Arabidopsis thaliana: one gene and its partner. The protein of the gene in region 1 interacts with the protein of each later gene in a pairwise test. Each region holds a gene or a part of one and is shown on either strand. Other genes may lie near its edges.

Region 1 (4,222 bases):
TAGTTGTTGTGTACGTTGTAATAGGCAAAGTGATGCCCTGTGTTTAAAATCTCATCTTCGTCTAGGCCATAGAACTTGGAAGTCTTTGTAGCAATCTCTATATTGATATGTGGACTGGACTGAGATATATGACCCACCTTGGTGCAGTTCCTACATATCTCTATGGAGCAGCAGAAAAGGAGCAGTGCACCCTGGATTCGATCAGAAGAAAGCTGGGGTACTTCAAGGCAAACAGGGAGGGACATGAATGGGCAGGTGGGTTTGACCTGGAGATGGTGCCACTGAAGCCAGACGCAGGGCCACAAGAGGTGAGCAAAGCCAAAGGGGTTGTAGCGGTTGGGGCGTGTGGGTGGGTAAGTAACTATAACGTGCCTGTCATGTCAAACGATCTCAAGGCAGTGAGGAGAATAGCGAGGAAGACGAGCGAGAGAGGAGGGGGCTTGGCTTCAGTGCAGACAATGGCGCTGGTGCACGGGGAAGGAGTCATAGAGGTTGCCTGTAACTTGTTGAATCCAAGCCAAGTGGGGGGAGATGAAGTACAGGGACTGATCGAGAGGCTTGGCAGAGAGGAAGGTCTGCTTGTGGGAAAAGGGTATTATACGGACTATACACCTGACCAGATCGTTGAAAGATATATGGACTTGCTCAACAATTCATAAATTTCAAAGTAAAAAAAGTAAAAACAGTATGATGTTGTCATTCTTAGAACGTATTATTACCGACATCGATCATTTATCTTCATTTTGTGTTTAGATGTGATATACATTGCCATGAGTGACAATTGAAATTAGCAAAGATTAAATAAAAAGTGAAATGATAAAATGATGGTACGTTCATTGAGAGGCCAAAACATCAGATCTCATCATTGGTGTTTTTCCTCAACAACTGTGAGAGATTTGTTTTGTGTAGCCTCGTCTTTTGCCGTGGTTCTTAAAGCTGTTGTTTTCTTAGCATTTTGCCTTGTTTTGCATATATCTATATGGCAATGCATGCAAGTCATTAACTAATGTATAGTGAACTATTGGTAGCATCGTGACCATGTGGTAATTAACAATCTTTGTCCTTCAAATTTATATATATGGAGGTTGTGGTCTATATGATTTGTTAAAGTGAAAAGACAACTGGTTTTCTATTAATTTGGTCGTAGGTGAAATTCGAGGGTCAAAAGTCTCTAAAAACAACGTGGATGAGGTGGAGTTTGGTGCGGCTCGTTATTGACTTGAGTTCTTCTTGGTCATTTTTTTGGGTTTGCAACAAGGGGAAGGAGGTTAAAAGAACATTTATCTTTTTCTGTTTTATCACTAATTATTGTGTTGTTTTATTTGATATAATCAATCAATAGGTTAAAAGAACAAGAATAAATTAAAAAATTCGTCAAAAACATCAAAACGAGAACTAATTTGAAACACAATTTAACTTCTAAACGACAACTAATTTGAAACGGAAGGAGTATACGTTACATTTAGACAAAAAAAATGTAATTTATGACATGCCTACACACATTGACGTAGACAATTAAAGGTTAGGTGTGTCCTTGTATATGTGTATACATGTACATACATATGTATGGGCACATTGGAGTTGGGCCGCAATGGAGAATAAGGACCAGATGCGACTATCATACACCTAACTCTTAAGAAAAAAAGCATTATTTGTGTACATAAATGGTAGACCCATGAAACCTGTAGAGCTCAAAAGTCACAAGTAAAAGAGAGAAAAGAAAGAAGAGAAGAGGTAATTACATGTGGGTTTAGAGAACAACTTTACTTAATCTCTTCTCTTTTATCATCAACCAACCATATATGGACAATTACAAGAACACATCTATGTATGAACGTTAACGTAGATAATATTATAAAATATTATTCTAAAAATTAAAAGATTCACAATTCCCATGCCTCACGACTTGTATTTTTCTTTGGCCACCTAATTTGCATCCATCATCTCTCTGTCTCTATAGAGAGTTTCTTTCAAATCCCCTAAAACCTAGAAAAACACCAAAGTCTCTCTCTCTTTTTGTTTTACTCCAAAAGCCTTTTACCTTTGAGATTTTTCTATATAATTGTCAGATCCTTCGTTACTACTGATGCTAGCTCCTTTAGGGCTTTTTCTCGTTTACTCATGTCAAATTACCTTCTTGTCCCTTGGTGTTTAGGGCTCTGATCCTATATAATAATACTTCATAGGAAGGAGAAGGAGCCCTTCGTCGTGGTTTACTTGGTCCCGATCGGAGATGGAGAGAGAATGTGGGTCGAAGGAGTTGTTCAGCAAAGAGGAGCTACAAGAAATAAGTGGAGTCCATGTGGGAGACGATTACGTCGAGGTCATGTGTGGCTGCACCAGCCACCGTTACGGAGACGCCGTTGCGAGGCTTAAGATATTTTCAGATGGAGAACTTCAAATCACCTGCCAATGCACTCCTGCTTGTCTCGAAGGTTCCTCTTCTTCTCTCTCACATCTTTCTATATGCATGTTCCATGTGAATGTGTATGGATTCATGATAGTGTCAAGAATGCAATGTAACTGTTCTTTGGCCTCGGTGAACTATGAGGCTGCTTGTATTTGCTAGATGTGATATGTTTCATGCAGTCTTTTAGAGTGTGGGATAACCTTACATTGTAATGTATCTCCATTTTATATCACAAGTTCGAGTTTCTTTCAAAGTGATCTGATTGACAGCTTTCATTCTATGATGGTAGACAAGTTGACGCCTGCTGCCTTCGAGAAGCATTCTGAGAGAGAAACCTCTAGAAACTGGAGGAACAATGTTTGGGTGTTCATTGAAGGAGACAAGGTTCCGCTTTCAAAGACAGTGTTGCTCAGATACTACAACAAAGCATTGAAGAACTCTAACGTATCGAAAGTCATTCATCGGGATGAGTTTGTTGGGTGCAGCACATGCGGGAAGGAGAGGAGGTTCAGATTGAGGAGCAGAGGGGAATGCCGGATGCACCATGATGCAATTGCTGAGCCTAATTGGAAGTGTTGCGATTACCCATACGACAAGATAACATGCGAGGAGGAGGAAGAAAGAGGGAGCAGGAAAGTGTTCAGAGGTTGCACTCGCTCACCGTCCTGCAAAGGCTGCACTTCTTGCGTCTGCTTCGGCTGCAAGCTCTGCCGTTTCTCTGATTGTAACTGCCAGACTTGCCTCGATTTCACCACCAATGCCAAACCCATTTGACTTCATTTCTCTAACTTATTTAATTCTTCTGCAAAAACTTGTAATGTATGCTCTGCATTTTCTTTAATCAGTAGCTTGTTACACCTGTTATGCGAGTGGAGAGACCAAGTAGGGATCACATACTGGAAAAAAAACCGACTTGGGGCTTGGAAAACTAACTTAGCACCACTACGAGGACATGAATCTAATCTAAATTCAACCATATAACCTCGGCAAATACACACAAGGCAGGAGATCGATAACAAGAAGCAAGCAGTGACTGTAATAGTATGCTGAATAAACTATGTCAAGAATAAAAGCATGAGACAAGAGCAGCTACAAACATTTGGATTAGCCAATATGTACTTGGAAGGTGGACGACATACATGGAGAAATACCTCCAACAAAAATTGGTATCCAAACCAGACAAATAGAATGGAAGGAAATAGCTCGAAAGCATATATCAACATACGTAGTGAGACAATGATTTGCTTAAATCCTGTCTGTTTCAAACATAGGATATTATGAAACACAAAACTGTCAAGAATTTATCCATTGCAGACATCATCAGATCTCAAAAGTGATGCAAATTATTTTCAAAATGAAACACAAGACCAGTCACAATCTGCTAAAAGGGAAAACAAAGTGCATGAGAATGAGAGGTCTCTCCATAAAAGGTCTTCCTGGTGACAATGAAACTCATTGTGTACTCTCCACAGGCGTCTGCAAAAAAAACTATGTATAAGGGAAGGAACCCGAAGCCTCTAGGCAATGGAAGAAGAGCAAGAGCTGAAGAGCAAGAGTAAGTACCTCTTTTTTTCCCCCAGTGGCGAGCTTGTATCCACTGTAGAAAAGTAAGCCCCAGCCAGACAGAGAAATAAGCACAAACTGCAGATTGGTCAGGTAACAGAAGGAATCAATTCAACAAAAAATCACAGCTTTCATTAACAAAAACACAGTGTCACAAACACATGATTGATACATACATGCTCCTCTTTCCAGTTTCCTGGGTTCGTGGGCTGTTTCCAGAAGTCAACCTTGGTAGATCCATGGTGATCT
Region 2 (4,357 bases), 9.0 Mb from region 1:
ACCTACGCATCTTCCCTCTCTTGCCTATATCAAGATCGTCTACAGCTCTCGGTTTATCCAATCGAACAAAGTTGCTTTGTGTACGATCATTCGCCTGCGTTTTCACCAAAACACATAAATGAGCTGTTCTAACATGTTGCAGGAAAACAGAGGACTCTGCCTTCAAATCAACAGGCTAATAACAACAATTGTCTATCATGATCAACACAAAGGCAAATTAGGTTTCTTTATAAATACATTTGTAGATAAGTATTTTCAAATTTTGTAAAAACATTAGAATTTGTTGCGCGTTGATCTTGATTGACCTAAGACCATTACGTGATCTCAAGACATGATTTAAATAAGATGACATTTTTAATGATCAAAGCTGTGTTTGCGTGTAATGCTTACCACTTGACCACGACGATGAAAATCACGATCCATCAGAAATCAGAATGCAATTTAGAAACAAACGATCAACGAGCAATAAACCAGAGAGACGAATCAAAAGGAAAAAATGTTTGTAGACAAATGAGAGGCAGAGACGAAAGGAGGTGATGAGCTCGTGGAGAAATTTAGGAATGAAAAAAATTTGGAATCCCAAATAACTACGGAAAAGAAAAGACAGAAAACACAAAAGATAAAAGAAAAAGCTAAGAAAAGAAAGAAAACGTCAAAAGGAAGCGACAGAGAGGCGTGTGATCAAGAATAGAACAAACATCCCAATTTTGGTGAATTATAATAAAAGGTGTGAAGAATAATTACCTTCAAAGTCTCTCTCTCTCTCTTTCTCTCTTTCTCATAAATAGTTTTATGAACTGAATGAGCAAACCAACAATAAATCCAAATATAGAAAACAAGTTTATCTGAAAATAATTGAAAAACATTACACAGCCTCCATCTGTAAAAACCCATATTCTTTTTATGTTTCCAAATCCTTCCTTTCGCCTTCCTTCAGGCATTCAGAATTTCGCATTCTGAAAACAAGCTTTTGAGCAATAGTAGTACTCAATATTTTTTCTAGTAACCTTGAAAAACCTAGGGAACCTACAACGAGAGCCACAATCAGTGCATTTTGGTCTAGAATCGTGATCGTTGAAACCCACTTCAAACTTATTCTCCCTGTTCTTCATTATTATTCCAGGTTTTATGTTCAAAAAGTCCCCGGTTACGCATTCAATATGGCACACGACCCCACAATCATCGCATGTATAGAACCATCTTTCAGGATTGGTTTCGGCTTCACAGATTTCACACCAATATTTACCTTCAGGCGCCTCCTCCCCAGAGCGCAAAACTAAATAATGTGTATCACACCTATGCTTTATGACTAATGGTAGAGTGGCGCATTTGTAATCCAAAGAATAATCACAATCAACACAACGCAGCACATTGAGTTTATTCTCACCGCAAGCTAAGCAAGTACCACGATCTATTGTGGTTAGAAATAACGTGTGAGGATGAAGTTTGGGGTGCTTGAAGAAAGAGAGAGACGCACACAACACATCGAGTACCACACCCTCTTCATCCTTGTAGCTAAAACCCCTTCCATCTCTATTGCAAGCATCACAACTGAAATTTTGTTCGCTAAAATCCTTCCCGAAGCGAAGATAAAATATACCTGTGGAAAGTCCATGTCGTTTCGTAAGAGGAAGATTCGCACACTCTTCGTGAAGAATAAACTTGCATTCCACGCACTTGTAGTGCTTCTCAGAAGAGACTGGACGGGCGCAAGCTTCACAATGCATGTCTTCAGCACCATCTATAAAAACATCCTCAATAAGGAATAAGTTATGTTTCTCGTGGGAGAAATGATAAATTACCCCTTCCTCGATCACTTCAAATGGCGCAACGTCTACTACTTCCTCAGGTATCCCTTCGAGTTCGGTCCCATCCCACACGTCTTTTCTAGTTGCACATTTTGAATGAACAAAAAAATCTGGACATTTGTTGCATGAATAGCCTCCGTACGTGGTGTTGATATCTTGACGACAGATTTCACATACCCAATTCCCACGTTTGAGAGGATATGAATGTGAAATGCGATGATCATGACGATTGATGTTGATGACGTGTGGTAGATCAATACAATCATAATGAAACATGACAGAGCATGGTAGGCATACATAAGGGTTCCGTTCACCATGCGTACCACAAGCATTGCAAGTGAAGGATACTTCCCTTCCCATGAGGGTGAGTGCATGCTCGTGGCACTTTGGATGATCCACTTTGTGGGGCGGGGGCCTGTTTCCGCATTCCATATCTATGCTGAAATTGCATAACTTACAATGGTAAACGAAGTTGGAGAGTTTCCGTTGACAGAGGCTGCACTTCTCGTCAGAGTAACTAGGTGGCCCTTGGAGGAGAACCTCTAGGGGATGGTTCGGGTGACAAGGGTGGTTAATATTCTTCGTTGACCTTGGCACGCAATAGGGATGCCATTTTATATTGCATCTGAAGCATCCATAAAAAACTTCAAAGAAGGGTATAGCACTCCTATGGCACTCTTGGCAAGTGAACATACGATATTTTTCATATAAAGGATGTTCGTGCCAAAAGAGGTCCAGCGTCTTAGCCATGGGCAATGTTAAGAATGGTTGTGGATACGATGAATGAATAAGGATCAGGGAACTTTAAGAAAATTGAAAAGGTTTAACTTCAATTCCTAATTGATCTCTAAATCCTTATATTGTTGACCCGTATCACTACCCACGATCTCCGATATAAATCACTCAAGTTGATCATCGTTAGTTGTACGCAACTAATAGAACTGGTTTAGTCTTTTCTTAAGGCTCAATTTGGGGGGTCCAAGTGTTTATTATATGTCAAAAAAATTATTTAGTTAGTCCGACTAATCTTTCACCGGATTATTAAAATGCGTACTCATCGTTGACTATAGAAATATATATTAAAAAATTGTCTGGTTGATCACATATATATGTTTTGTTATCCGAGTTGATAATATTTTGGAAGGTGTGAGGATGAGCACAAGGGAAACCGCTAGGAGAACAAGAAGCTGTCAGTGAACGCCTTTTCACAGTTCAATGAAGTCTTCACTTGCATAGAAAAGAATATACAGATTCTTATATTTAAGCAACCATTTAACTCTAATATTTTTGTTATGATTGGAACCGAAGTTAATCAAACGACACTAATTAATTTCTAGAACCGAATTTAATCAAACAGAAATTGCTAGTTTTTTTAGATTTAAATTTAATACGAGCAACCGAAAAAACGGAAACGCATCAGGATACATTTTGCAGCTGGTCTCTTAAATGGTTCATAAAGAGTCAAGTATAAAAAGTAAACACCCGAGCTGTTTCTGTATCTATCCACACAGATTTCAACTTCTCTTATTTCATCGTCTATCATTACTGTCTCCACCGCTTCCACCACCGTACTGTGTGGAGTTTCCGTTCCAAAAAGCGTTTCCATCACCAAACGGAGCCTCATCTTCATTGTGATTCAACGTATGGATGTTACTTCCAATCCGAGAAGTGGTTGGTCTCCTATTCCTAACGTTGCTCCTACCTTCTGATGGATCTTGAAAGGACGTCCCTACTTGCCCCAGATTGTTTCTCACCTCCGTATTTGGTCCTATAGATAGAAAAAGAGAGAATCAGATTAGCAATTACACGACTTTCTGCATTAGAATGGATTTTATAAACTCATCATATTCCCGCATACTTGTTTGACGTTCTGGAACAGAGCTTGATGCGTTGGCAGTACCACCGCCAAAATATGAAAACGGGTTTGCATAAGACAGTACTCTTCTAACATAAGCAAAGTAACCGCCACTATTAGGGTCTGTGTTGTTGTTAGACTCCGAGTAAGATGTTCCTCTTTGATAGACGGTTGCTCTTTTTCGCGGAACTACTACAAGTGCTTGTCTATCGAACAATCTCAACTCGGATAGAGACTTATCCAGATCTGCAGAGATTAAGAGTAATGGAGTTATGTATCTACTACACTAGTCCAAACTGACCAGAAAAAAAAAAAAAAAAAACCTAAATGGCAGAAAACATCATCTTCGATCAAGATGAAGCTGGTTTTAAGGTAAAATGTTCTTTACCAAATAAAAATAAAAATCTATTGGATGCATTGTAGATTTTACGTACCTTGGTCAGTATACACCTTACGTGGGTAAGGAACCGCAAGATCATAAGCACCCAGTCCGATTGTTTGATTACTGTTCACATAATCCTTGACCATTCTCAATATACTTGTCACAGAAAACTTCTCCTGAAGGCTACTACCATCAGGTAATCGAATGTTTAAATGAACGTCAGATGCTTTTTTGGATTTTTCTCCATCCTCTTCCTCTCCTCCTTCATCCTTTGGCTTCATGGTCTCTTTTGTATCGACAGATTTTGTTAGA

What was found.
Region 2: the proteins of ULT2 (region 1) and AT2G43220 interact in a two-hybrid assay, tested with the Arabidopsis thaliana proteins (one large-scale study listed by BioGRID).

What each region holds. Positions count from the first base shown.
Region 1 is NC_003071.7:8,964,807-8,969,028, reverse strand, and holds ULT2 (Developmental regulator, ULTRAPETALA), read left to right. Parts: upstream 1-1,785; 5' UTR 1,786-2,233; coding exon 2,234-2,435; intron 2,436-2,699; coding exon 2,700-3,184; 3' UTR 3,185-3,473; downstream 3,474-4,222. Other genes in the region: AT2G20830 (folic acid binding / transferase), read left to right, coding at 148-659; AT2G20820 (uncharacterized protein), read right to left, coding at 3,792-3,886, 3,974-4,007, 4,150-4,220. UniProt on the Arabidopsis thaliana protein: Putative transcription factor that acts as a key negative regulator of cell accumulation in shoot and floral meristems. Negatively regulates the size of the WUSCHEL (WUS)-expressing organizing center in inflorescence meristems.
Region 2 is NC_003071.7:17,962,541-17,966,897, reverse strand, and holds AT2G43220 (Cysteine/Histidine-rich C1 domain family protein), read right to left. Parts: upstream 2,680-4,357; 5' UTR 2,559-2,679; coding exon 942-2,558; 3' UTR 687-941; downstream 1-686. Other genes in the region: AT2G43230 (Protein kinase superfamily protein), read right to left, coding at 1-128, 238-305, 391-423; AT2G43210 (Ubiquitin-like superfamily protein), read right to left, coding at 3,338-3,576, 3,667-3,909, 4,098-4,357.